7 linked regions of the Bombyx mori genome follow. The protein of the gene in region 6 purifies or fractionates together with the protein of the main gene of each other region. This does not show direct contact. Links are inferred from orthologs where the notes say so. Each region holds a gene or a part of one and is shown on either strand. Other genes may lie near its edges.

Evidence for each region.
Region 1: the proteins of cell division cycle protein 27 homolog (region 6) and ubiquitin-conjugating enzyme E2 S purify together in Homo sapiens (affinity purification with western blotting; 4 studies listed by BioGRID, with this or other methods). This does not show direct contact. The link is inferred for Bombyx mori from reciprocal best matches to the Homo sapiens genes CDC27 and UBE2S.
Region 2: the proteins of cell division cycle protein 27 homolog (region 6) and anaphase-promoting complex subunit 15B purify together in Homo sapiens (affinity purification with mass spectrometry; 3 studies listed by BioGRID and IntAct, with this or other methods). This does not show direct contact. The link is inferred for Bombyx mori from reciprocal best matches to the Homo sapiens genes CDC27 and ANAPC15.
Region 3: the proteins of cell division cycle protein 27 homolog (region 6) and anaphase promoting complex subunit 11 purify together in Homo sapiens (affinity purification with mass spectrometry; 8 studies listed by BioGRID, with this or other methods). This does not show direct contact. The link is inferred for Bombyx mori from reciprocal best matches to the Homo sapiens genes CDC27 and ANAPC11.
Region 4: the proteins of cell division cycle protein 27 homolog (region 6) and serine/threonine-protein kinase polo purify together in Homo sapiens (affinity purification with mass spectrometry; 4 studies listed by BioGRID and IntAct, with this or other methods). This does not show direct contact. The link is inferred for Bombyx mori from reciprocal best matches to the Homo sapiens genes CDC27 and PLK1.
Region 5: the proteins of cell division cycle protein 27 homolog (region 6) and mitotic spindle assembly checkpoint protein MAD2A purify together in Homo sapiens (affinity purification with western blotting; 29 studies listed by BioGRID and IntAct, with this or other methods). This does not show direct contact. The link is inferred for Bombyx mori from reciprocal best matches to the Homo sapiens genes CDC27 and MAD2L1.
Region 7: the proteins of cell division cycle protein 27 homolog (region 6) and anaphase-promoting complex subunit 2 purify together in Homo sapiens (affinity purification with western blotting; 20 studies listed by BioGRID and IntAct, with this or other methods). This does not show direct contact. The link is inferred for Bombyx mori from reciprocal best matches to the Homo sapiens genes CDC27 and ANAPC2.

What each region holds. Positions count from the first base shown.
Region 1 is NC_085116.1:176,346-180,471, reverse strand, and holds the start of ubiquitin-conjugating enzyme E2 S, read right to left. Parts: upstream 2,801-4,126; 5' UTR 2,666-2,800; exon of another isoform or gene 2,543-2,665; 5' UTR 2,476-2,542; coding exon 2,328-2,475; intron 845-2,327; coding exon 375-844; 3' UTR 1-374. UniProt on the Homo sapiens protein: Accepts ubiquitin from the E1 complex and catalyzes its covalent attachment to other proteins. Catalyzes 'Lys-11'-linked polyubiquitination.
Region 2 is NC_085121.1:5,937,655-5,941,683, forward strand, and holds the start of anaphase-promoting complex subunit 15B, read right to left. Parts: upstream 2,801-4,029; 5' UTR 2,693-2,800; coding exon of another isoform or gene 2,539-2,692; intron 2,279-2,538; coding exon of another isoform or gene 2,234-2,278; exon of another isoform or gene 2,052-2,233; intron 1,869-2,051; exon of another isoform or gene 1,727-1,868; intron 1-1,726. Other genes in the region: uncharacterized protein LOC101746435, read left to right, coding at 2,234-2,278, 2,539-2,692, 3,916-4,029. UniProt on the Homo sapiens protein: Component of the anaphase promoting complex/cyclosome (APC/C), a cell cycle-regulated E3 ubiquitin ligase that controls progression through mitosis and the G1 phase of the cell cycle.
Region 3 is NC_085118.1:13,747,260-13,751,291, reverse strand, and holds the start of anaphase promoting complex subunit 11, read right to left. Parts: upstream 2,652-4,032; 5' UTR 2,470-2,651; coding exon 2,451-2,469; intron 2,441-2,450; exon of another isoform or gene 2,237-2,440; coding exon 2,001-2,236; 3' UTR 1,994-2,000; exon of another isoform or gene 953-1,993; intron 1-952. UniProt on the Homo sapiens protein: Together with the cullin protein ANAPC2, constitutes the catalytic component of the anaphase promoting complex/cyclosome (APC/C), a cell cycle-regulated E3 ubiquitin ligase that controls progression through mitosis and the G1 phase of the cell cycle.
Region 4 is NC_085121.1:12,620,802-12,624,969, forward strand, and holds the start of serine/threonine-protein kinase polo, read left to right. Parts: upstream 1-1,368; coding exon 1,369-1,467; intron 1,468-1,859; coding exon 1,860-2,084; intron 2,085-3,170; coding exon 3,171-3,375; intron 3,376-3,665; coding exon 3,666-3,858; intron 3,859-4,060; coding exon of another isoform or gene 4,061-4,168. UniProt on the Homo sapiens protein: Serine/threonine-protein kinase that performs several important functions throughout M phase of the cell cycle, including the regulation of centrosome maturation and spindle assembly, the removal of cohesins from chromosome arms, the inactivation of anaphase-promoting complex/cyclosome (APC/C) inhibitors, and the regulation of mitotic exit and cytokinesis.
Region 5 is NC_085128.1:1,144,864-1,148,992, reverse strand, and holds mitotic spindle assembly checkpoint protein MAD2A, read right to left. Parts: upstream 2,801-4,129; 5' UTR 2,619-2,800; coding exon 2,549-2,618; intron 2,203-2,548; coding exon 2,056-2,202; intron 1,613-2,055; coding exon 1,206-1,612; 3' UTR 250-1,205; downstream 1-249. UniProt on the Homo sapiens protein: Component of the spindle-assembly checkpoint that prevents the onset of anaphase until all chromosomes are properly aligned at the metaphase plate.
Region 6 is NC_085117.1:10,632,657-10,636,743, forward strand, and holds the start of cell division cycle protein 27 homolog, read right to left. Parts: upstream 2,801-4,087; 5' UTR 2,609-2,800; coding exon 2,585-2,608; intron 2,512-2,584; coding exon 2,436-2,511; intron 2,328-2,435; coding exon 2,180-2,327; intron 1,163-2,179; coding exon 1-1,162. UniProt on the Homo sapiens protein: Component of the anaphase promoting complex/cyclosome (APC/C), a cell cycle-regulated E3 ubiquitin ligase that controls progression through mitosis and the G1 phase of the cell cycle.
Region 7 is NC_085131.1:8,614,822-8,618,896, reverse strand, and holds anaphase-promoting complex subunit 2, read left to right. Parts: upstream 1-1,275; 5' UTR 1,276-1,406; coding exon 1,407-3,740; 3' UTR 3,741-3,787; downstream 3,788-4,075. UniProt on the Homo sapiens protein: Together with the RING-H2 protein ANAPC11, constitutes the catalytic component of the anaphase promoting complex/cyclosome (APC/C), a cell cycle-regulated E3 ubiquitin ligase that controls progression through mitosis and the G1 phase of the cell cycle.

The sequences.
Region 1 (4,126 bases), on a different chromosome or scaffold from region 6:
ATCTATGGAAACGTATTTTAATAGCGATATTGTGAATTTATATTCCGAGCGTCACGTGCAGCAGAGCGCTCTGTCCAGCCGCGCCACTCGCAGCTCAGCTCCAGCCGCACGGAGGATTCTAACTCAATTAACTTGGGGTAAGATTTTATTTAGTGACTCGACGTTCGCGAGGGAAGAGCTTCGGGAAGGAGATGGGGGAAGGGCAGCAGACTGTCCAGCGCACACTCAACGCAAGGATTTCAGTTTTTGCAGATACACATTAAATTATTAAAAAGTTCACCTACTACTTAAAGTTCAATTTTGCAAATATCTTAAAGTTCGCTCGTGTTGGACGAGTCCATTTGCGTGGTCTGATCGTTTGATCTCGGGACGGCTCATAACCGCTTCAGGATGCGGCGCTTGTCTGCGCGGGGGGGAGGCGCGGGGCGGCGCTTGGCGGGCGGCGCGGGCGCGTGCGCGGGCGCGGCGGCGGGCGCGTGCGCGGGCGCGGCGGCGGGCGCGGGGGCGGGGGCGCGGCTGCGAGTCGCGTGGATGTCGGTGAGCAGCTTGGCGCGCGCGAAGTAGTCGTCGTAGCGGTCGCGCAGTAGGGCGGCGGCCTCCGCGTTGAGTGCCGAGTCAGGGTTGGGCGCGATGAGCAGACAGCGCAGAGCGAGGAGCGCGTGCCGGAGCCCGAGCTCGGGGCGCCAGTCGCGTGCGAGCGTGTTGACGCAGACCTCGCCAGTCTCGGCGGCGACGTTGGGGTGGAAGACGCGGGTGACGAAGTATGCCCGCGGTGCGCTGGCGGGGAACTCGCGTCCGAGCACGAGTCGCACGCGGAACACGCCCCCTTCATACGGCGTCTCCGCTGAAATCATCAACTTTTGCATTAATTTAGTTGATACCCTTGAATCTGGTTTTTACTGGTGGTAGGACCTTATGTGAGTTCGCACGGGTAGATACCACCACCGCGCCTGTTTCTGCCGTGAAGCAGTAATGCGTTTTGACTTGAAGGGTGGGGCAGCCATTGTAACTATACTGAGACCTTACAACTTATATCTCAAGGTGGGTGGCGCATTTACATTGTAAATGTCTATGGGCTCCAGTAACTACTTAACACCAGGTGGGCTGTGAGCTCGTCCATGCATCAAAGCAATAAAAAAAATATTAAACCTCTGGCCATACTAAAATCTCATTTTACTTAACACAGCTTACAGCTTACAGCTTTAGATATAACAACTATATACAAAAATGCTCAAAAATATTTTGACACATTAATTCAATTAGAAAAAAAAAAGCATAAAAATCATACACATAAAAAAATGTGTATATGTATAATTTTTCCCTACTTATTGGCTAGTATCCTGTGGAGATATTCCAGCTTCTCGTGAACAGATAGGCGAGCTCACAGGCTCAACCTGAGAGAATTTGCTAGCACTAGACCTAGCAAGAACAGTGCTTTGAAACATTTACCACCAGATCAGAATTGCGACCTACTGAGAAGATCCAGCAAGATACTCAGTGGGCTGTGTATGGGTTAGTCGTAATCAACCGAGGAGGACTGGTGCTTGAGAGGCCTAAAAACACCTGACTTTCTCATTTTCTCTATCATTCTATAACTGCACAACTACTAAATATGTCGTCCTAAAACTAAACTTCTTTGGGATGATTTTGTTTTTCTCCAATAAAGGTAAGATGTAACATGACAACAGCTTTTTGAAAACTTTGAACATAACTGGCAGTGGTATATATTGAGAATTGGTTCACCTATCTGTGGCTTATATTGTGTGGTGTTCATTATGAAGGTATTTATTTATTGTTTAGTTTTAAAGAAAGTCCCATATGCAAAAAGAACACATCATACATTTCTTAAAATTATGACTTTTAGATAGTGTCAGATTCTCCTATTCCTCATCTCTTCAGAGGTCTAAATTATAAGTTAAACAAAGTTCTGACAATGTAATATCTGCAGCTGTTAATATATCTTTAGAAAGACCATGACTTCAAAGGACTCCATAATTATTGAATATCTAAAAGACGGGAGATGCAGATTGAAAAAAAATCATGTCCAAATTTTCCATACAAAATTGAGACATTGCAAGATATAAGTAATGACATTCAAAACAAAATAAATATCAAGCAGATAGCAAAAAATCGGTATAAATTGTAACTGTGACGTTGAATATTGAGATGTACTTCAATGTAACAAATCCAGACATTGCCATTGGACCATTTACCTTTCCACCTCTGATTTATTACATGACATGAGAAAGTAGATATGCCTTTTGTTTAACGAAATGTCACACCGGTTCTGGAGGTGAGGGCAGTATCATATTTGAATAGATTCTTACCGGGACCATCGATAAGCGCGACTATGTCAGATATGTCGTCGTCTCGCAGCTGCAGTTTGATGCCCGGCGGAGGATTAGCCGCCAGCTGTCGGAGTTCGCGTGCCACGCCACGCAACGCTTGAGGACATACGTTTTCCACGTTCGACATGCTTCTGCTTCTCCTTCTTTATGTCAGGCGCTCATAGCATTTGCTTGCGTTATTATCACCTTTTACACTAAAACGAAATGTCACTAAGTTTTTAGAATTTTTCTATTTGTTTTGAGAAGGAATTTCGAAATATTAATCTCTTTCTACAACAGAGCATGCAATTTTTATTATTCAGAAAAATGTTCACTACTTATCAAATTTGATTTCGAGTTGATCTATCAAAATTTTCAAAATTCAAAACATAAAACTGCATTTTTTTTATTAGCCTGCCCAATTAGGCAAAGGTAGCTTTAACTATTCCTATAACATTCATTCCACAATGCGCTAAAATTTTTAATGGGTCGTCACACTGTGTTCTTAATTAAAACTAAATATTTACGTATAAAATTCCATATATTAAATCACAGATGTGATGCTAATTTATCTTACTGTTCCTTACTACCACATACTATAGAGATATTATGACATAAGTGAAAGGTGCTATAAATACTAAGCTACCTATGTTCAATAATCTTGACCGATCTTACTTTTTGTTACTATATCTTTGGGGAATATTTTTATTTATTTATTTATCTAATTTGCAAGTTCGCAAAATTGGGAAATAAATTAAAAATCGCTGATTTGTACTAATTATCTACATGAACATTTTATAAATCGAAACTGGCAACAATTAATTGTTTCATCGACTTTTTAGAGAGAGGGCAAAATATGTGAATTGATTTATTTTGTTAATTTATCGTTCATTCAGATGTAATGGTCCTTAACTTTCCTAATGGTGGCTTACTTATGATTTAATATCAGTTGAAGTACATGTAGAAATGCGTGAAATGAAACAAAATCGCTAAACGTAGATTCGCGGCAACTTCCAAAAACTCCATTGAGCTCAGTAAATTCTGAAAGGTGATTTCAATTCATCTCAATGGACACTTAAGGGTGTTATATCTCACTTCAATTAATATTTTTCATTCGCTCACTTCCTTTATAATTATATTCCTTAATCATGTTTATTTTCTATTATCTAATACTAGCGACCCGCCCTCGCTTCGCTTCGGAAACATTAAAACACACATGAAACCAAAAAAATAAATAAAAAATAAAATAAAAAAGTAGCCTATGTTCATCAGGGACAATGTCGGCTTCTAATGGAAAAAGAATTTTTCAAATCGGTCCAGTAGTTTCGGAGCCTATTCGAAACAAACAAACAAACAAATCTTTCCTCTTTATAATATTAGTATAGATTTTCTTCGACTTCACGTGTGGTAGACACATTTGAAACTCAACGTCTTTTCACAATTTTTTTTTTATTGTAGTTTTATTATTTCCGGCGCTACGTACAGGTAATTTACAGTTGTAGTTCTCATGGATGACTTAGTCTTCTCTTAGACGTTAGAAGTAATCGTTAGTGTTCGTGATTAAGTCATAAAGTACGGTAGTCTAATTATTGCCAGAGTATGTTACATTTAACTTTTAGCAAAATAAATTTTAATATGACTTTTCTAACAAACCATTTGGTCGTGTGGGTATTTTATTTGTTCAGAGGCGAATCCAACAAACTCAAAAGTACATTCCTTATCTAGGAACGTCCACATCAGAGTTTTGTTTTGTGCACGGGGGTATTAACAGGTCTCCTTAATTTTGTGTCCCTAGACAC
Region 2 (4,029 bases), on a different chromosome or scaffold from region 6:
TTTCCATTCATCTCCTAGTCACATGCATCTTCTCTCGACGCATCACATATCCATACCACGCTAACCATAAAAAAATATAAGCATGCACCTAAAATACAAATTTAATCAAAAACTTCATAATATTCGTAATTCACATTTTCAAAAAATACTAACACAGGGTTCATGAGTTCGTGTCATCATCTATACCAGCCAAAATGTATTCCGGCCTTAAGAGTAAGATTAATAGAAAATACACATAATATTTAATTGGTAGAATTGTTGTTATACTGCTTAAATAATAATGCACAGCTAATATTTTAATAATATCCCGTAAATTAGTCCGCCCATCTACACTAATTAATAAAAAAACAATCGAAATAAACAGGCAGGTTTTTAAAAAAAATTGTAATTACCAATAATTGAAACCATTTTCAAAGCCATCATTTCATTAAAACGTTTTAACTAACATTTTTGTTTTTATTGTGAAAAAAGGTGAAAAAGCTGATCAAAATTCAAAGATGTGTAAGTACTATACAATAAACGAACAAAAACTATCTATAAAACGCAATTCATTGATAAAACGGATGATCTATCATAACATTTTATTTGTCCTTAAATCAGTTTCCCTACTACATTTCACCAATCAAGAAGAATTAGGTTGGTGCTGCCTAAAAAATACTATCTTTATTTTGCCTTTTGCTTGTAGTATAAAATCGCGCGTCTTATCGCTGTTAGCGGTCTTAATCAATACCGCCTTTACCATAATGCCGAGTTTACATTACGAAATTAGTGTCATGCATGTTGAGCTCAGTTTCACGAAAGTAGTTTCGATATATGCGAAAGTAATTTCGTTAAAAAATTAGTGTCGCGAAATCCACAGTATCGCAGTAACCATGGCGCCGTTAGCATCAAAGCTATAATTTGCTATATTCAATGTAGCTAAAGAAATGCTTATATACCTATAAACCTAAAAAAAGACTATCAAGAAAAAAAAAGTTGGTAGATTCGAGGATGGTTAACAAGAAGGCATTTAGGTGCAATGAAGTTAGTCTCTGAATTAGCAGATGAAGATCCTGAGAGTTATAAAAACTATTTTCGAATGAGTGAAGATAATTTTGATTTTTTACTATAGGTGTTTCGGGACCCTTGTCATTGATATTCATTAATAAGATCTATATTTTTTTCTGTACTTCATCATAGGTTTGCCATTTTCAACGCTTGAAGCGCGTCCGAACTAACAATACACACGTCCGCACAGCGCAGGCCCTTTCGCGACATTAGTTTCACGTCGCGTTTACACTATGAAATTAGTTGCATGACATTAATTTCACCAAAAAATCGCGCAGGGCACGAAACTAATTTCCATGCATGAAATTAATGCATGCATTACGAAAGTATTAAATTACACGTGAAACTGTTAGTAAAACTAATGTCACGAAATTAATTTCACGCCACTAATTTCGTAATGTAAATTCGGCTTTAGGGCAAACGGGGCCCGTGCCCAGGGCCCCCATGTTCAGGGGGCCCCGAAAGACCGACAATTTCTCTCACACGTTTATTCTCAAAACATTTTTGTCGTGCACATTACAGTTTTTGCACAAATCAGTAATCAGAAGGTATTTACAAGGCATATACTATGCCTATAATGGGAGATTTTGCTCAACAGAAATCCCGAAAGAAACCGTTATCGAAATCGTAACCAAAAAACCAGCAGCATTCTAATATCATTAATGACATATTTGATTACCTATAATAAATGGTCTCAAACTCAGTAAAAAAATGTTATTATAATTCGCTTTTTTTACTTTCCGAAAGGCCTCAATTCTTGTGTGCCCAAGGGCCCCACCCTAGCTTAAGACGTCCCTGGTCTTAATAACATATTAGACAGTGTGTACTGTATTTTTTTAAATTAAATGTTAACGTTGATAATGCTGAAATGGTAAGTTCACTTAGGTAGTAGAAACCGTTGTGTCCAACGTTTATTTTTCCTTTGGTCTACGATCAGCAATTTCAATCAACTCGTTGTCAAGTTCAGCCAAAAAGAGAAGGTACAATTTGTAACTGCGAACATCACTACAAATAGAAAAGAGGCTTGTTAATTCAATGTTGACCGAGTAATTTTCCAATAAGTGTTAAAAATTTTACGAGCGTTTGTTCATTGTTAATTTTAAAAAACAATAATGACAGAACGATTTTTATCAGCAAACTTGTGGTCGTGCATCGGTTAGTTTGATATTAAACTGTTTATGCTACAATGCCTTCATGGATTGTCAAAATACCACTATTATTGATTTTATTGGTAAGTAAATCATCATTCAATATTTAGTTTTAGTTAGAGGGCACCTATTCAAGGTATCACACAAGGTATCAGTTTATTTGACATGCTGCAACTATGTACAAAATAGAAGATATTTAATAACTATTCATCTAAGAAACTCTATAACTGATAGCCAAATTGCTAATGAAATTATTTTTGATTATTCAGTTTCTAAAGCATGATGAAATTTATTTTTGATTAAACCGACTTTCAGTAAACCTACTATAAAGTTTAATTTTCAGATACAACATACAATTCCGATGGCTATGCTGCAAAAACCTTCATATTTTTCATCATATGATTCGAATAGTGACCTAGAAGAATACATGAAAACTAAAAGCTATATTCCAAACGAAGAAAATTTACCGAAAATGCCTTCAGCAGTCACTTATTCAGGTTTGTTTTTGGAAATTTATAACTTGATTTAATGATTTTAAACGTTTCGTTTTGTACTTATGTACGGACTTAATAAATCCACGAATTCATCATTAATATTTCTATCAGAGAGCAGAGGATGTCAAGATAAGTAACCTATTAGAATATTTTCGCACGGGCGCTTTAAAAACGTTGCGTTAAAACTCGGCGTTAGCGCTTTTATAAGGTTCTCGATGTGACGTAATCTGTAACGCCCAACGCTTAGCGCTCAAAATGCAACACTGCGCAATAAAAAAGCGTCGCGTTTTATAAGCGCTGACGTATGAACATATACTAGGAAGTGCATCTGTTCTCTATGAATGCTTTTTTTTTTTAAAAAACTCCCTTGCAAATGAGGCCTTACTCACTATGGATGTCGGTATAGCCTAAGTCCAGCGCTAAAGTGTAGCTCCTATCTTTTTCCTGCTAATCAGTAGCATATACGAATTAGAAAGCCGTTCTACTGAGCGTTAAGTAATTAGTTACGTGAACCGTTAATATTAATTAAAAGGTTTTGTAGGCTAGAAAACATATTTACAATTTATCGGTAAAACTTAAAATCTGATTCTACCTTTGTATAGTTATTTTTATACTACGAATAGTTTAACATTCTACCCGACTCTCTCCTTACACTATGGATAACATATAGTAATTTAAAGATTTTTAAATTGAATCATTTATGCATGATGCACCGGCGCCGTAAGTAGTTTCGTACAAACCAGCCCAATTCGAAGTATATACCTAAATTAACTCATGAACTTAATTTAGTAGGTAACTGTGTAACTTTTACTTCTATTCGTTTCTATTCTGTGCCGTGCGTAAGTAACAAATGATAAATGAAAGAAGAAAATACGGACTGCTTGAACTTTTATTACCAACACTTCTAGTGATCACAATTTATGACGCTTTATAAATTAATTTATTAATTTATCACCAACAACACCTCCCGCCGTAATTTTTACTCAAAAATCAATCAAAGAAATGATAGCCGACAGAAATTTAAACATTTGAATTTTTAGATTTCAAGATTTCTGTTTATTATTGCAATTTTAATAGAATTCTACAAATTTAAATTCCATCAAAAGTATTTATAGTATGTACCTATAACCTAAATTTGTTTTTAGCGAAATTAGTTTAATTGAACTATAATACATACGATACCAGCATAATAATTCTAATATTTACAACTTTACTGTATATCATAGGTACTGATTCAAGCTACGTGTTATCAAAATTGACAGACGAAGAATTGTATAATCTCTTAAATTCACAACCAAAGAAAAGTGAATATGGATTAAGTGATTTAATTAAAGTTGGAT
Region 3 (4,032 bases), on a different chromosome or scaffold from region 6:
CCCGCGTGTATTATTTACGCGTCATTGCCAAACAAAAATTACGCGTTTGAAACTAAATGATATTTGATTAAGTAGGTGGTAGGACCTCTTGTGAGTCCGCGCGGGTAGGTACCACTACTTCGCCTATTTCTGCCATGAAACAGTAATGCGTTTCGGCTTGAAGGGTGGGGCAGCCGTTGTAACTATACTGAGACCTTAGAACTTATATCTCAACGTGGGTGGCGTATTTAGTTTGTAGATGTCTATGGGCTCCAATAACCACTTAACATCAGGTGGGCTGTGAGCTCGTCCACCCATCGAAGCAACAAGAAAAATTAAAAAAATTAAAAGGACGATTTCGGGGCAAAAAAAATTGCTTGCCATCAACGTATCCTGTCAGGACTTCAGCTTTGATCACATTTCTTTGAAGTGCTGTTAAGCAATATGTGGGACCTTTTTGGTTTATAAACACACCGATGTCGGCATGCAGCACACTAAGCTCCAGAGGGCCTAGAATGGCATCCACTCTCTTCTCGTGAGTTTTGCGAAAGGCAACTCGAAGAATAGACAGCAAGGTTCACAGTTAATTTTTGCTGAGAGATTAATGAGTTGTCACAACCCATTCTGTGACATGACTTCTAAGTCAGTTTTTACAGTACATCGGCTGCTCCACACATCAAATGTTTACATTTTACTGCTTCACAGCAAAAATATGTAGGATGGTGGTCACTATCAGTGCAGGCAGAAACGATGCCCAGTAAAAAAGTATATTATAAATACTGTATATAAAGATTATATTTTAAGAGTATCCCAGTATTTTGGTTTTTTTGGGAGAGATAATTTGCCCTTTGACCAAATTATTTGGTGCCAAAGGCAAATCATCCAGAATCCTTATAGAATATTTTTCCAGAGATTGTTTTCTATCACTACAGATGTTTTGTTAATAATCATTACCTAATATTTATAATTTCAGAGTGGTTTGAACAAATTCAGGTTGTGGGAGTCGAACTACACTGCATCTAATCCCTGCCCAAATACAAATAATGGAAAAGCAGTGAAAATTTTAGCAGTAGGCAGCGGCTTGGCTCTGCCCCTAGCATTGCTGAGGTCCATGGGCGACGGTAACCACTCACCATCAGGTGGGCCGTATGCCCACAGGGGCAATAAAAAAAAAAAGAACATAAGGTAGGCTAATTTCACCAACACATCTAAATTTATCAGTAGTTCATATCGGGGTGAAAGGCTATTTGATTTGAGCGACATTTTTGCAGCTTTATAGCAGAGCCATTTAAAGTTTAAAATTTGAAAAAAAAAACATAATAAAAAAAAAACTTCTTTAGCTTAATTAAAGTTCAATTAAAAAATTATACTGACATCAAATAAAATGCACCTTTAATTACAAAGATAAATATCGAATATTATCTCTTAAACCAAATAATAACCTTTCACCCCTCGTTATTATGATATTTTTGACAATCCCTTGTACAACAATTCACAGAAAACTTTAATAATATTTAATCTGTACTAGCATAGTAGCAACCTTTTGTCTTTAAAACTTAGTACTCTGCTGAATTATGAAAGGAAGGAAACTGTAGAACTCCGTAATCAAAGCTTCAAAGAAAGAAAAATGTTGTGATATTGTCAACTTCATTTATGTTAGATTTGCATTATTCTGACATTAATAATAAAAGTTGCTATTATGTGCAGATCAATCCCTATATTCTATACTACATACCACCTGATTAATAAGTTAAGGTGAGATTTAAACTTGTTATCACTAAACTAAAAATGACTAATAAGGATTTGTGACTCTATAATCATCGAACCATTTAACTACTTATTGAGTTTGAAAACACCAAACAATAAATTTTTCCAAATTATTCTAGCCTTATAGGTTGGTAAACAAAATATAGTTACAAAATGGGACAGCAGTGACACAATAAAGTGTGAGAATAAAAACCTATATTTATTTATTATTTAAACTATATTTTCTTAATTTATGGTATGTACTTACGAATATTTCACTTGTTATTGAACTTCCAGTCTTGTCTGCACATAGGACACTGCTGTTGAGGCTGAGAGTGTAGCCACTTTACGATACAGTGAATGTGGAAACAGTGAGAGCAAGCACCCCAAACTAGAGGGCAGTCGTCCCCAGGTAGTTTGCAGTCTGGACAGCAGCTATCAAATGGCATACGACAAATCCCACAATTGTCGTCGTTTGCTACCCACCTCCAAGTTGCAACCCCTGTCCAACCTAAAATGAATTATCTCGTTACTGTGAATATTTCAATTTCAATCGGTTCTTCCTTGTATGAGGAATTTTTAAGAATTGTGCTCTATGACAATAAGGCACTTAGCAAAAATTACTACTTAATTTACTTTAATGTCAGTGTGTTTTAAGTTGCAAAGAATAAAGTGTAAATTAACCAGGGAAAATAAACATTATGAAAAAAAGAGATTGTGCTTACTTTTTACAGTTACTTTCATAGCGCGATCATGAGGCTAAAATAGAAGTTTTAGATTTATTTAACCTTAAGATCCTTCATAATTAAATTAACGATTTTTATGATATAATATGTTGACTGAACAAATTTTTTTCAGTATTTATCATTTGCCTTTAAGTTTATGTGCTAATTTTAAAAATATAATGTTTATTTTATTAATCTAACCACTGAAGTAAAATCAAGTAAGATCAAATAAATTTGTTTTTAATGTCAGTCATATGTCAGTCTTATCGGCTACTTTATTTTTTGAACTGGAAAAACGAAGGTATCACACCATACAGCGTATTTTTTGTGTATTCTGTGAATTCTGTGTTTTGAAAAACCATAGAGCGAAATGAGATGAAGTTTATTAATTTGAGACAGTAAATCAATTAGGATGTTAATGAAATGAGATGAGATGTGATGAAATATAGTCTCAGTGGAGTGGTGGTTATGCACCAAGACTTTTTGGAAGCTTTTGAGAAGCTACGTCCAGCGAATTTGTTTCATTTTCCCACATTTGTGCACCTTCAGAGATACTAAACAGTTAATAATGTAATATAGTATAATAATAGTGTAATAATCACCGTTATTACACGTTTAAACATGAGCACTACTTTAACAAAATTAACAGAACTTAGCGCCTTGCGTTCCCGCTAAAAAAATTGTCAGATGTTAATTCGAAAATTTTCAAAGTGTAATTTTTATTATTTTATTTCAAAATCTGATAGGCACGGGGATCGATACATGAAACGAAGTCATAAACGAGTACCATATTTTGAAATGATGTTAAGTGAAATAAAAAAAAATTACCAAACTCAATTAAACTACTAAAAATCATTTGAAATAAAAAGAACTAAAAACTAAACAAGGTCTTTAATAAATCACTTTTAAACAATACTAAAAATAGAAATTACACATGTACTGGAACTTCAGTGAAAGAACTGCAAGCGGAAGCAACTTGAAATACGCAAGTACCGGTAAAATGGGGCGATTAGGGACAAATTCCATCTTTATGACCAATTTTAAGGTAGTTGTTGATGTATATAATGCTATATCAGGATCAAAATGATTGAGTCTTGGGAGCATCTTTGTTGTCCAATTTAAAACTATGCAACTAGCATTCCAGTTTAAGCAAAAAAAGCAAAAATAGGTGTAATCCCTATTTACCCGGAAATTGCGGTTAATTGGGACGAAATGAGAAATTTGCTAGGGTGGGCACTACTTGGTTTTAATTTATTTATTTAGTTGCACCAACAAAGTGATCATCAATAAAAAACATTAAAAAACGGACACTCTGAACAAATAATAAATATTTTATTATGTATTACTTAGACATTTTTGTCCACCTTGAGATTTCATTGTTCTTATTACATGTCTGTGCAAAATTGACTTACTTATATTAAATTGCTTAGCTATTTCAACTAAAGACTTATTCCCAAATAGAAAATTTCCTAATTGCTGTTTTTAATATTAAGGGATAATATCTCTTATAAGGCTTTGCATTCTTTGATACGTACACGCGAGGCATATCTAAAAACAGAAAACAATACGTAACTGATAATAT
Region 4 (4,168 bases), on a different chromosome or scaffold from region 6:
CCATCAGAAATCTACGTACCTACCATTAAATTTTCCATTAAACAGAGTTCTTATTAATATAGAACAATAATTTTTTTGTTAATAAGCTTTATTAATATATGATGTTCTATTAAAAATCAATACTTCTTATATAATTTATTTTAATAAATTGTCATAATCAGAAACTAATTTCACCATAACTTTGTACGTTTATTTTGAACAAATTTAATTTTTGACGTTGATGGAAATTCTAAATTGTCGCAACATTTTCTAGTTAAGTTTAAGTCACATCGTTTAAATAATATGTATTTAGACATATTATTGTCATAAAATGTTTAAAATCCTGTAAAGTTGATTGATTTTAACCTTTTCGATAATTTTCTACAACGCCCAAGCTACTAAAAAATCCACTAACCACTAAAAGCCATTTTTGATAACTAAGACGGGGGTCCGAATTCCGAGATTTTATGGAAAATCCTCTAAGCTAGCAACACTGCTTTTTGTTTGTAAAATGTGCGAGAGGGACACCACCACTTAATAATCATTCTCTTTTCAGACCGTTTTTCCTTACATCTTTTGCTATTTAAAAATAAACTTTAAGTCATAGAGATAAAGTATATTTTTAGTTTTTATGTCAAACGAAGTAAGCACTCCAGTTAGAATAGTAACTCTATGGTCTATGGTTATACACCATTAAAATTTTTAACACACGCACACTTTGTCAACAGGAACAAAAACATCTGCACTTGTACTTGTGTACAACAAAAAAAAACACAAAACTTGGCTTTTGAGAAAAAAAGTGTATGAAAAACAGTAAAAAAGGATATTAAACATTAAAATTATAAATAGCTTTCAATTAATATTCACATATTCTCAATATTGACGGCAAGCTGAATCGATAGAAAGAACTTTTTAGCAGGCTTCAACAATAATTTCGTGATCAGGAAGTGCCGCAAAAATCATTACAGAAACTGTCTTTCTTTATTGTTACTCGCTCACTAATGCAGTTTTAATTAAAATGAATTATCTTACTCTTACCTATACAACATTGCAGTTTCAAATCATAAACTCCTTGTAGGTATAGTCTAAGATTTTTGCCATTTCGATTTATTGCACTGATTTCTGTGCAGCCTGTACAGCCAAAAAACATTTTTACAATATGGTATAACATTTTTACAAACCTAGCAACACTGGTATAAGCATCGCGGCGCCCTATTGGTTGAAAATTAAAAACCGTTCAAAACGGCCTTCAAACTTTGAAGTTAATTGAAGTTCAAACGTATGGCCGTTTGAGATCCCCTTTGTTAATTTGTCAACAATTACTTTTAGTGAACTTTACTGTTATTTAATATTATTTGACTGTAGTTTATATTTTTAAGCTAGCTAAAAATGACGTCGATCAAGGAAGATGAAAAGAAAGAAATCCCCGAAATCATTCACGATCCACAAACTAACAGCACCTACCAAAGATTACGGTTTTTTGGCAAGGTAAGTACTTACTGTATCTACGTTATTCGAAACACTTTAATTTTAAATAGGGATATAATGTATACATACTCTGTTCTTTTATACATTTAAAGCACTAATAATATTCTGTACACGAAGTACAAAAATGTATATTTTAGTAACCGTCTCATTGAATACATAAAAAAGTTCAACGCCGCCCAGCATGCACCTGTTTCGAAATAGCCTGACTACAGACATATAAAAATGCAGATCAATATAACTGAAGTTTGTCAGTCGAATTTGCATATCATTAATTCAACAGAAATTAACGACACGTATAGAATATGTGTGCATAACTGATATGCGAAACACAAGCAATGACGAAAATTTTAAATTAAAGCTTATATTTCTGTTAACACAATGATCGTTTTTAGGGTGGCTTTGCAAAATGCTACGAGATCCAAGACATAGCCTCCAACCAGATATATGCTGGAAAAATTGTTTCAAAGAAACTAATAGTGAAGTCATCGCACAAAGAGAAGATGGCTCAAGAGATCTCCATTCACAGGTCTCTCCAGCACAAGCATGTAGTTGGCTTCCACAGTTTCTTCGAGGACTCTTTGAATATTTATATAATATTGGAGCTTTGTAAAAAACGGGCAAGTATCATGCATATTTTAATTTTTTGTCAATTGATCTTGTCCAAAAAACTGAATAACAATTTAAGTTAAAAATTCATACGATTCTAAGGTATGGAAATGAATTAGATGGTTGATAGTTTCCGAGCCCATGTTCCATTTGATTCTCATACAGTCACCAAAGCCTCGGAATAACATTTATGTGATTAACAATAACTTGTTGATACACCAGTACAAAAATGGAGAAAAGAACTCTTAAGTAAAATTATAAAAAAAAAATCTCTTAAACTCTTGAGTCTTGGAAAATTAAATATTCTTTAATTTTCCACATCATGAAAAATATATATTTCATTTTAATATTTATGAAATACACTCAAGTACCATTAAAAATAAGACAGCTTGATTATGTGAATTGCATGTTATGATGTGCAATTGACATGGGAAACAATCAATAAACATAAGTAGTTGACTTAAAAATTTTGGGAAATTTATGACTGTGAATGCATTAAACATTTTACTTTAAACTATCTATGAAGCTGAACATAACAGTAAAATTTTGGTTGAACACTACGAATTATATATTAAACTGTCCAATAAATTGATAAATTCTGCGATTTTTTATTTTAGTTCTTATAGTTATATTCCCTTTACTGTTAAAACTACTTCTACCTTGCATTGTAGAATGGAGACAAAAGCAAGGCAAATCAAGTTTACTAAAAAAGATAATTAATTTTACATGAATTCTTTTGAAATATTTTTGTAAAAATAGTAAGTAAAGCAGCTTTCTGATGTCAGATTTTCATATTACCCACATTTTAATAATGCCATTAAGAATTTATAAAATTTAGATGAGTTTTAGCATCACTAACAATATATATTAATTTAGTTTAGGATATTTTAGTTGATATTTTGAATATATTTTGCAATACTATTCTGAAATAAAATTGATGAGGCCTATTTATTTGTTACTGCCCATGAGTACTCCTGAGTAGCTTATTATGTTGCTTTCATCATGTCTCCGTTTAAATGAATGCAAAACATATTTTCACTACCTATAAATCAACAAAATGTTTGATATCCAATAGCCTAATAAAACCACTCTTACAGTCGATGATGGAGCTTCACAAGCGTAGAAAAGCAATTACAGAACCAGAGACTAGGTTCTACATGCACCAGATACTGCTTGGCGTGCAATATCTCCATAGTAAGAGGATAATACACCGAGACTTGAAACTTGGCAATTTGTTCCTTGATGACGATCTTCATGTAAAAATTGGAGATTTTGGTCTTGCAGCAAGGATTGAATATGAAGGTAATTATAGGCCTACTCGATAGTGATCTTCTATCACATTGTAGTGATAAAAGTTTTTAATGAAGGCATGACTACAACTTTTTACAATTTTATCATGCAAACACTCTGCTTAAAGAACTGAAACCATTTTTTTATACCTAAGAATAACCTTGAGATTCAATTTCCTTTTCAACCTTTCTGAAAGTAATCATTCTCAGAAATATAAACATGAAGTGTGCGCCCATAGTTGTAATTCTGATGCTAAGGATTTCTCGTTTTTGAACTTGAAACAACAAAATGAACTTTCATAGGAGAGAGAAAACAGACTCTGTGTGGTACCCCAAACTACATTGCCCCTGAGATATTAACAAAGAAGGGCCACTCATTTGAAGTGGATATCTGGAGTCTGGGCTGCATCATGTACACGCTGCTTGTTGGCAAACCGCCGTTTGAGACGTCCACCCTCAAGGATACATACAAAAGGATTAAACAGTGCGAATACAGGTGATTTTTTTTTAATATAAATCTGTATGGATATCATCATTATTATAGTATTAAAAAGTATATATAGAATATTGATTTCAGCATTGATTACAATACGAAAAATATATACGTGATCATGGATAACATGTTATGTTAATATATTATATTTTAGAAAGTTATCAAAGAGAATATTAACAATAGATAATGTTATTGTTCCAACCAGTGAGGCAGTAGAGGTAGCGATGCGCGTTTGTCTCGGGGGCCCTTGGAACCATTTACGTAGTCGCTACGCGCGAACGTTAATCGACGATAACACCCTCAAACTACAATA
Region 5 (4,129 bases), on a different chromosome or scaffold from region 6:
CATGACCTACGCGTGTGGTGTTTGCTCACGCGGCCCGCACACACTTGGACACCCTCCAATCCCTACAATCCAGCTTTTGCAGGCTGGCCGTCGGAGCTGTGGTTCGTGAGGAACGTTGACATACACGACGACCTTGGCCTCGAATCGATCCAGAAACGTAACGAAAGTAGAATAAATTATGCTGTAGTCATAGTAGAAAATTTATATCACCCTTGTATCATCGCTCATTTAAACAAGACAAAAACCAAACACTTTTAAATTCATTTATACATGCCAAAATGATACCAAACATTGAAACGAAGGTGCTACATTCACAGTTAAAACTTACATTTTATATTTACAATACTGAACACAATATAGATTTCGGTTGATTGCTATTAGTTAAAAACACATAATATAAAATTATTTTCAATTTTAGGTGCCCATTAAGTGCCCAAGTATACAGTATTATAGTAGATACATGAACAAGCGAACTAGAGATGTAGTCATTACCATTTAAATACTAAATGATTTCCATTTGTAGATACCAACAAAATTACTTGTGGGGCTAAGATATTGATAACCGTTTGTTAGAAAATCAACTCCATATTCAGGTCTTAACGCATAGAATATGTGCGAATGCCAGCCTCGTGTGAGAACATCACTGTTTTTCTCAAGTATCTAACAATAATCTTTATTGGCCTGTATGGGAGTCAGATAACATTGTTTGTAAAACCAAGCACTCAAAACTTAGCTGTGAGATTAAAACAAACTTTAGACTGTTTAAAGCATAATCAATACCTACTGTAACTTAGTCACTAAATAAAATTATACGTATTTAGATCGAGAACAGTCTACAACCAATAATGGCCTAACAATTTGATTGACGATTTCCTTCTTATTTGAGAAAAAAAACTAAAACTTAACACATCACGACAACTGTAGTAATTGTTATGGCATAATTTCATTTTAAAATTCACCATTACTATAATTATGAGTCATTAAAGATTCACTAGTACATTATTGCAGAGAGGGGAGAAAGCAGTAAAGGTTATTTATTATTTAAAATGGGTAGACGGTCATAGTCCACCTTATGGTCACCTGATGGTCATCACGCAATTGATGCATGCTCTCTTCAACAATATGTTACCTTACCTTAGATAATTACAAACTACATTACTTGAGATACTTAAAAAGAATAGAAAACTTATAAAGTAAAGCTGCAATCAATCTGCGAGTTTGTAACTGACTACTGTTTCCATTTTGTGTAAACTAGTCGAGAATGACTTTAGCTGTACATTCTGAGCATTGGCTATAGCTACTGGTTGTGCCTCAGCCCATTTTTCTGGAATATCGCAGTCTGTTTTAGCATGAACCAAAACATCAAATGAACATCTACAATCTAATAGCGGTAAGTACGATATTGTTGCTGCTACTTGTAACATAACATCTCTGATTTCCTGTTGTATCTTCTTCAAATCTTTGCTCCCGACCATTTCATTTTTCTCCTTAGATAAAGCAGTATCTCCATCTTCGTATTGAATGTTAAAGTCCCAACATTCCAGAACTTCTTTGTTAGCCACATTTAGTATGATCAGAGATAGTTTTTTCACTTTCTTGTCAAGAATCCATTCTGTAATATCATCAAAATAACATCATTAAAACTACTTTAATGGATTATATCACACATATATTATTTTTGTTTTGTGATATTGTGAGTACTGACAATTAAGGTTATTGATGTACATTAAATTTTGTACTAGTTTCAGTTATCTCTATGACTTGTGAAAACTAAAGAAATTGCTGTGGTAAAACTTTATTTAAAGGATGTCAAAACTCCTAAAACTCCAGACTAAGGTGTGGAGCTAAGTAGGTAGCAGTAGTGGCCCTCAAAACACAGCACATGAGCAGTTGATTCATCTCATTCGTGCATAAATACAATGCCACTAAAAACAATGAATGATAAAAGAACTCCCCAAATTGTTGATCTTTATTTTAAGTCCATCAAAAAAGTTACTAATTATTACTAAGAACTGCTATTAATCATATTAGATTTGGATGTAGACTAACTGATACCTTCACTCTGTGTAAGAAGATTTGTTAAGAAGCTCTTGATCTGAGGATCCTCTGAGAGTAGCAGTGTGATGCCATACTGGTTTTCTGCCTTAAAGGTTTCAGGTGGATATAAGCCTCGTTGAAACAGTACTGAATTTATTGAAAATTCTGAAAACATGAGTAAATAAATCAGTTTATACTACTCACAGGGATTAAACAAATGTGGACTTTAGTCATATAAATTTATAATGGTTTTGTAGTCCACATTAGTAAGCCCTTGTACTCTGTATCTTTATGGTCGTGTTTCTTCTAACAGCTGTGTGTACAAAATATATTAATTCAATAAATAAAAATAAATAAGCATGTCCATCATGGCCACTTCAACATACTGGTTACAACCTCAGGTTATTATTAGTATCAGAGCTTTCAGCGCATATATGCTTATACGGCTGTGTGGTAAAAATGGGAAAACAAGCTTTTGATACCAGAACAACAGAGAAACAATGTTACTTACTCAAATATTCGCATATAATTTGAGCGGAGCCGCGCAAAGTAATACAATTTTTTGTTTGTTGTAGTGACATAGTTGTCAGCTGTTTGTCGATTATATTGCTGTAATCGTTCTATCAATAATCAAAATCAATGAATTTATATACACACTTGAGTATGTAGGGACGATTTGATACAAACGAGCCGTTATGTAGGTACTGGGTGAATTCAGCGCGTCCGTTGATAATTGTTATTTTCAAATAATTCAAAACATTTCATTCAAACTTCAATGTCAAAAATTCCTTTAAATCAAGTGTCAATGCTCAAACGCCTCCATATACCCTTTGCTTACATATTAAAAATACAAAACTCCGTCTGATATACTACGCAAAGTGAAATGGAACTGAGGAAAATAAATTAATTTTTAAGTAAAGTGGTAATAAACTTAAATACATGAGATCAAATAGAAATAAGCTCTCTCTACATACAGCTACATCAACACACAAAGATGATGATGTGCTCCTAATCTCTATCCTCCAAACTAAAAGGGTAAAATCTTAACTTCGGCAACCTGAATCATTTGATTTTTTTTTATTGCTTAGATGGGTGGACAAGCTCACAGCCCACCTGGTGTTAAGTGGTTACTGGAGCCCATAGATATCTACAACGTAAATGCGCCACCCACCTTGAGATATGAGTTCTAAGGTCTCAAGTTTAGTTACAACGGCTGCCCCACCCTTTAAACCGAAACATATTACTGCTTCACGGCAGAAATAGACAGGGTGGTGATACCTATCCTCGCGGACTCACAAGAGGCCTTACCACCATGTATGATGCTATTATGAAACAAAAACAATATGTAGGTACCTATTAAGAACTTTTTGGCGGGAACTCGAGGAGTGAAGTTGTGTGATTTGTTTTATTTTGTTTAATTAGTGTTTCTTCAGGTTTAAATGTGTAATAACTAGAGGTCAGAGTGGGTAAGTAGATTGAGTTAAGGTCGTTGACGTCAAACGTAGAGGATAATATGGATATATATATATATATATATGCCTCCAAAATACTGGAACTTCATATTTATTGTGATATTTGTTCCGGAATTTTGAAATTAGCATGAATTTGTGTTTAAAGTGAAAAACGTAATAATAATTTTTTTTTTCTTTATTGCTTAGATGGGTAGACGAGTTCACAGCCACCTGTAATCTACGCTATCAGTGCTAGCTAATGGTAAAAGAAATCAGTATTTTGTTTTATACAAAAACGCCTTGGAATAGTTACAGTTATATATTATATATATGTGTATAGTTATAGTTATAGTTATTTTGTCCCTTTCTGTTAAATTGTAAATGACGCTTGTCAGTATGAGACAAAACTTAGACAGTGCTTTTTTGTTACTTTATAAGTATAGAAATTGTATCCGATGAGGATTAAAAATAATTTTTTTCATTTTAAAAAAATAATCATTATGGATAAAATGGCATGTCCATATTAAAATATCTTGATCCAAGTATATGAAATCAATCTACCTACTCCGACCACTGGTAATAACGGTGGTTTATTAACTGTTTAATATCTGTGAAAGTGCACAAATGTGGGAAAATTAAAA
Region 6 (4,087 bases):
TTCTTGTGCTAAGGCTGATAACTGTGCTTCACGCTGAAGATGCCATAGACAGGTACTGTAAATTTCCATCCCTTCAGTACGACTTGGATACTGTTTTCTTATTTCTGAAAATATTTTAGCAGCTGCCTCATATTGAGCCAATTCATAATGGCTACGTGCGATCATGGTTTGTACCCAAGGTGAAGCCAATTGTTTTGGAGGTAACTCTTGAAAGGATTTTATTGCATTTTTACAGTCTAAAAATGCAAGATATTTATAAGCTTCTCCTATTTCTTTCATAAGACTCAACAATGCTACTCCATTTGAATTCTTTGGAGGTATGGTTGGAGTGACAGTTTCTATACTTTTATTTGAATCTATTGTATTAGATTTAATATTTTTAGCAGTTCTCTGTTTATTTTTTCTTGAGGGACTCTTTGGTGCTGCAAATTTCCTACTAGGTGATTTATTATTTTCCTTTACTGAATAACTACTATTATTATTACTGAATAGTCTTGATGATCTACGTGGGGCAGGGCCAAGTGTACATCTTGGAGCTGGGCTAAATACTGCATCCTTAAGTTGTCCCATTTGTGCACGTAGAGAATTAACTATTTTAGGAATTGCTTTCTGTTCATTTGAATCTGTCAATGTTGGAGTATATAATACAGGAGATTCTTCCATTGTAAGCATTCCAAATGATGGTGAAAATGGAATAGGTGCCATACCACTAAAAACACTATGCATTCGCTTCATTGGGGCTTGTGTCTCAGGAGTTATACTTGTCGACATAGCCATGGGTGTACGTGTGGCAACATTATTAGGTGTTACATTTGTATTCATGCTGCTGTTATTATGAATATTACAGTTAACAAATGATATATTTTCTGAATTGCTGACTAGATTGACTAATGTTGTAACACCAAATGTGAACTCAGAGTTGTTTATTTGGAAAACTTGTTGGGGGTCAACTTTCTCACCCATATTACAGAGCTGTGCAAATGATTTCCACATAAATGGGTTAAGAGATAGTGCTTTCCGATGGGCTTCAGCGGCTTCATTCCTTCTTCCTGTGCTGATGTATACTTTGGCAAGAAGCTGTAAAGCGTATGGCGCCTGCTCTCCAAATTCAGAAGCTATTATATCAAGGTTGGAGCCCAGTGCAATTTCTGCATCTTTGTAGCTGTAATGATAAATAACTGTATATTTGTATGGGTTTACATACATTAACATAAAAGTAAAACATATGTAATGCAACTATGACTAAACTGCCATGACAAAAGATGCCTTTGTAGGGGCTGGTGTCCTATTTAAATATTTTAATCATATAAGACATCTCTTCGCGTTCAGTAAAAGAAAAATTTGTCCAAAACATATAAAACCAGAAGCAAATTTTAGGTATTGCAAATGGACTTTGTTATTTTTTTATGAAAATTGACCCACCTATTGAGATCAGTCTTATTTTGAAGAGACATATTTATGATCCAAGAGCTAAATGTCAGTTTGAATTGAATAAGGAGCTTTCACTGTATTCAAATATTTAATACATGTTGCAGGCCCTCACAGGTGTGCTACCATCCTACCTATTTTTGCTGCTAAGCAGTTAACTTTTCTATAAATAACAACTATAGCAATAAGCGATTGAGATTTCAACTATAGAATGCAGGTACTCATATTTTGTTTTCTATTGATTTTCATAGCTAATTAATATTGGCATCTGCAGATCTTGATTGATAAAAATTAAACATGTGTATCTGATCCAAGTACATTTTTTATTTCAATTACAGAAATAAAAAAAAAAAGTTTGTGTGCCTAAAACTTCTTCTACAAGTCAAGCTCGTGTCTTTTATTAAATTTAATAATTGTTTTAACTGTGTCTACAAATGGTGGACACTACAGAAAGTAACACATGGAGCATCTGCCACCAGCTTACATATTTCGTTCTAAAAATTTTAAATTATCATTACTAATTTGTAAATGCTTTAGGAAATTAGTTTTCTTTTTGTTCCCAATTTTACCTGTTATAGCCTTGGGTGGTCTCATTACAATCTGCATATTAATCATTTATAAACAAAAAGTACATGAACTATCAAAATGCCATCATAAGTTCACCCATATGTTTAATAGAATTTAAATTGTTTGAAGAGAAGCTTCACAGGGAATTTTTAACATTTATTTTTTTTAAATGAAAAGTACTTACGATTTCAAGTCAGCTGAACATTTGGCTAATAAAAACCTTGCTTGTGGTAATGCAAGGGTTTTATTTTGAAGTAAATGATGTGCTTCATTAATTCGCCCTGACCTATAATAACATGTTCCCAACAAAAACGCAGCTTCTTCTGAGCCAACTGCAAATAATCATCAAATTATTAAATAAGCAGCGAAAACAAAAAGCACACCCAGAATAAAAATCAATATTTTGCAATGGTACATTATATTTAATACAATTTATATACCTTCCGCATACAATCTTTCTGCCAAAAATATAGCGTTTTCGAATTCATAATTGTTGAGGCAATCCCAAACGATAACCTGCGAGAAAACAAATAATTTATAACGTCCCACTGGGAGATATGAAACTTCAATTTACTGGTTTTCACCATACCTGGATAGGTTCTTGCACAATCATCTTTTTACTGTAAATAAATACTTTCCAGATTGTTTTTATTTCTATTAATTACATTGCAAGCCACAAATTCAAATCACAAAATATATTGGAAATCTATTTCGACGGACATTTTTAGTTTGTTGATTGTCTATGATATTGATAAAGCTGCCAGCCCTAAGCATCTCATATGATCCTGTGGCCAGCCTCAATCTTAATATTTCCCAAATTATTTTAAAAAACCGTTTTTACAAAATCTTAAACGTGGTTCTATTAATGGACGAGTCGTAACTTATTAAAGGAAAATGCCTGTATTTATATTTTTGTTAAAAAATAATAAGGATGAAGCGAAAAAAGAAGTTATTAAAGTTCATTATTCATCAAAATTAGTTGTTTTTTGGTTAAGCCCATTCAGTTACTGCAAGTTCAGTTAGTGCAGTTATAAATTAAAAATGTCCTGTTTACGTACTCTATAGTTGACAACTCTGGACAGACATGCCTCCCGCTATTTAACTGGAGTAGGAATTCATTTTATTTAAGTTTGGCCAGTTGTTATTTAGCTATGATTCTAAATGCACAAAAAAATTTGTAGCAATATGCCAGTATACACAATCGCAGTTGGAACGAAATTTCAATCATTTCCAGAAGTAGCTTGCTTCAAGGATTTAAACTGTGGTAGCAAAGCGTCCGAGTGAAATTGTGTAATTTGTTTTATTTTGTCTATTTAGTGTTTCTTCAGACTTAAATGTGTAATAACGGTGGCTTATTAACTGTTTAATATCTGTGAAATGTGGGAAAATGAAACAAGGCCGCTTGAGGTAGCTGCTCGGGATCCTCCAAAAAACCCACTAAAAAGTCTCAGTAAATAACCACCAGATTATATATTTAAACCTATATCATTTCATCTTAGAAATATAAAAATGATAATATAGAGTGATATATCTATATTATATATATATCTATATTATCATTTTTCATAAAAATTAAAATAAGACTTGACCTAAAGGTCTTAGTTACCAGGACATAAAATCCCCTAAAAAAAAGTAAAATAATCTCTCTGTGCTGAACGTCAATGTTTCTGTGGAAGTGGATTAGTGGATTTTATTAAAATCAAAAATAATTCGCTTATTTCATAGAGTAAAATAAATAGGTACATTAATTTGTAAACGCGATGGGAAAGTCATTCAATTGAAATTATAATTTGTGTTTTAATTGTCATTCGACCATAGTCTTATCAAAACGAATAGTGTACGACGTTGATGTGTAGAAAATCGACGGAATTTGTGTGCAATATGTGTGCAGTGTTTATTACCTGTGACATTTAATAACAAAAGGAAAACAGTGTGATAACAATTTATAATCAAATTCTCAGGTAAATAAACTGCTGTTTATCAATACATTGTGTATCCTATGTTGTATGTCTAAGGCAAATAAACATGATACGTCATTAAAGCAGCCCTTCACTAGATTCGTCTACCGAACAAGAAAATGTCAAGACGTGTG
Region 7 (4,075 bases), on a different chromosome or scaffold from region 6:
GTAATTTCGAAAGAGAACAAACGTATTTTATATAAGAACAATCGAAAATGAATATTTACGAGTAATTAAGGACGAAAAAATTTTAAAAATTGCAATCGAGGGGCTAACTTTTAGATATATTTTTAATATTTTTTTTAAAATAAATAAATGGGGAACAAACAATTATTAACAATGAACAATCAAGAACAAATGATGAACAAACGAATTAATAGAAAATAAGTAGAAAACAGGAAAAAAAAATTTTTTTGAGGGGCTAACTTCATTCACCTATAAAATCACACCATTTAATTTATAACAAAGGCCAAAACCATATATTTTGTTGTGAGAAAAGTGAAATAGGAATTTTGCACAAAAAAAATCCGGCGAGTTATTTAGCCGCGTGGAACTAAATTAAATGTCAGAAATATTGGAGCTCAATGAATTTGGCCCCCCCCCCTTTGTAATTATTGGATTTTTTATTTTTAATTGTTATTTCGTCTTTTATTTATTTATAATTAATTAAACAAATGATCACCCTTAAGTCGGCCCCTCTTACTAGATGTCTTTATTTCTATCACTCAGACTAATTAATTTTGATCAATTATCGTTTGTTCGGCGACTATTGGTGATTGTTGCATCATAAAAACAAATAAATTCCCAATTATTAATTATTTTATATCTATTAAGCAATCAGGCCTATATTGTGCATGCGCCGGTTTTGTCAGTCACCTATCAATGGCCGTATTTACTAGCGTTTTGTTAACAAGTGCGCTTAAACTGTCTAATTATTTCCTAGGTAGATCAAAAAAATATTGAAAACTTCAACAATACTTCAACAAAAAAATGTCAGTGAAGACGACCAATTAGTCGTTAAAGTACGATTCGCCCGGTTTTAATAAATTCAGTTATTTTTAATTATATTGAATATTAACAACCATATAGAAATTTCAGTGATTTCTAATTATTCTAAGAATATTAAATTAATAATTGGGAATTTAATTGTTTTTATGATCGAGCAATCACCAGTAGTTGTCGAACAAACGATAATTGATCACAATTAATTAATCTGATCGATAAAAATAAAGATATTTTGTAAGAGGGGCTAACTTAAGAGTGATCATTTGTTTAATTATAAATAAATAATGGACGAACAAACAATTTTTACATTCGAACATTAACGAACAAACGACGAATAAATAATTAAAATTAAAAAAATATATTTGAAAATTAAAAAAAGGAGGCCAAATTCAGCTAAAATACTAACTCTATGGCACAGGACCACAGATCATAGATTAGACACTTAATATCCACAGATTAATATATTAGGATTGAACGCAAAGAGTAAAGTGTAAACATTAATTAATTTATTTATGAGGATATCGTTCTTAGATCTTAGATCTTATGTATAAGATAACTGACCTGCAATAATGATGAATATAAATCATAAAAAGGAAGATTTGAAACTGTACTGGAATAAAATAAACTATGCCTATCCAATTCTCGATGATAAAATTTTCAGCGACTGTACTGAGGCTGAATACGATGAAGTGCAAGTGTTAATAGTTAATTTGGGTGTCCAAATAAAGATACGTGATCTTGTATTTGTTCATATTGAGAAATATCTACGACAACATGTCGCATCTAGTTTTTGGTCAAAATATATTAAGACCGCGGAAGAAGTTAAAGGATTTCAACTATTTAAATCTTCAGTGAATGATCTCTATGAAGCAGTTTCTAGTTTCTCACCCATGTTACAAAGATTGACTAAATTGAACAGTAGTTGTAATGATAATAAGTTAATTTATGGCGAGAAAAATCTTGTATTAGGTTTTAAGCAGCTCGTCCGAGCTACTCTTCTGTCTCAGTTACCCATCGACTTTCAGTGTATTATAAACCAATTCTACAAAATATCTTTTAATGTTTTCGATAATGAATATGAAAACTCCGACATGGGCGAGGACATAATGTGTTCTGGTTGTGGAAACGAGTATTCCGATTGTAACTGTGCATACATTGTGAAAGTATTTCATGAAACAAATAGGAAGTTGGTGGAGTTACAATTGTTAGAAAGACTCACAGGTCAAGTTCTAACTAATTTCATCCAGTTGAGAATTCAGTCTCATATACAGAAAGTATGTACTGGCACTTTTGATGTGTCCCACATTGAAGCATTAGAAAGTTGGCTTAATACGACAGTAATGTCTTGGTTGATCAGAATTTATTGTGCTGGCTCCTCCAAACCTCCACCTGATGATAAAAATATACAAAATGCAATCTCAAGATTCAAACAGAAACTCACTTACTATCTCTATCATAGCTACACAAAAACAAGAATTGATCAGCTCTTCAACATCATTATAGAATATCCTGATTCCCAGCCTGCTGTTGATGACATCAAAATTTGTTTAGCAAAAACAGATTTGAGACCAACTCTATGTAAAAAGTTACAGAATGCATTAGAAACAAGGCTTCTTCACCCAGGCGTGAACACTCCTGACATACTCACTGCTTACATATCTACTATTAGAGCTTTGAGACACCTAGATCCTTCTGGTGTTATACTGGAAACAGTGACAAAACCTGTTCGTAATTATTTAAGAAGTAGAGAAGATACAGTGAGGAGTGTTGTGAGCAGTTTGACAGAAGAAGGTGCTGGTAGTGAGTTAGCTGAAGAGCTAGCTAAATTTGCAGCAGAAGGAGATGGCGATGCCGATAAAGATGAGGCTTGGGATGAATGGAATCCTGATCCAGTTGATGCTGATCCCAAAGTTGATTCAAATGACAGAAGAACTAATGATATTATATCTATGCTTGTTAATGTTTATGGTAGCAAGGAATTGTTTGTTAATGAATATAGAACTTTACTAGCTGATAGATTACTGGCTCAAAGTGTTATCAATACAGAAAAAGAAATTAGGTACCTGGAGCTATTAAAAATAAGATTTGGTGAATCACAATTACACTTCTGTGAAGTCATGCTTAAAGATATATCAGATTCAAAGAGAATTAATTCCTTAATACATCAGGACAAAACCATTGAGGAGCTGAATAAGAAATTTACTTCTAATGCAATGATTTTATCTGCACAGTTTTGGCCACCATTTAAAGATGAAAGTCTGGAATTACCAGAAGAAATCAAGGAACATTTTGAAGCATACACTAAATCTTATGAAGCTTTAAAAGGTAATCGAACATTAAGCTGGAAACCACACCTTGGAAATGTAAACTTAGAGATAGAAATAGGCGAAAAGAAGTTAGATCTGACAGTTTCACCTTTTAATGCGACATTGATAATGCATTTCCAAAATAAATCTGAATGGACGTTAGATGAACTCCATCAGGTGATGAAAGTTCCTATTACTATTCTGAGAAGGAAAATAACATACTGGCAATCGATGGGTTTAATAGCAGAAAAAAGTACAGATCACTTTGTTTTAGTTGAAGCTGATAATAAAGCCAGTGTACCTTCACATCAAGTACAGGAAATGATTTGTGAAGATGAAGAAACGGAGAGTGCCATGGCATCAGCACATGATCAGCGGGAAGGTGAACTGCAAGTTTTTTGGTCTTATATTGTAGGCATGTTAACAAACTTGGACTGTTTGCCTTTGGACAGAATACATCAAATGTTGAAGATGTTTGCTTCCCAAGCTCCAGGCACTGAATGCAGTCTTATGGAGCTGAGACAATTTTTAGACACAAAAGTAAGAACACATCAACTGGTACTTCAAGGAGGCATGTACAAATTGCCTAAGACATAGATGTTAATATTTATCAGAAATAAAAAAGAACTTGAAAGTTAACAAAACTTTATTTTCACCTTTTATATATTAATTTGGTTACATTACATGTCTATTTAAGTTAAAAGTTCAGATGCTTAAAACAATTTCTTTAAGCTGTTCCATCAACAAAATACATTATAAATTAAAATAAGTAATACCACCACTTGACTATAAAATAATACGAATAACATTTAAATACTTAGTGAATTTAATACATTATCATGTGTCAGTCTTAATATCTATTAAAATACTGTTTAAATTAAGAAGTAAGAATAAATAAATAAAACTAATTTGACAAGAAAAACATACTGGAG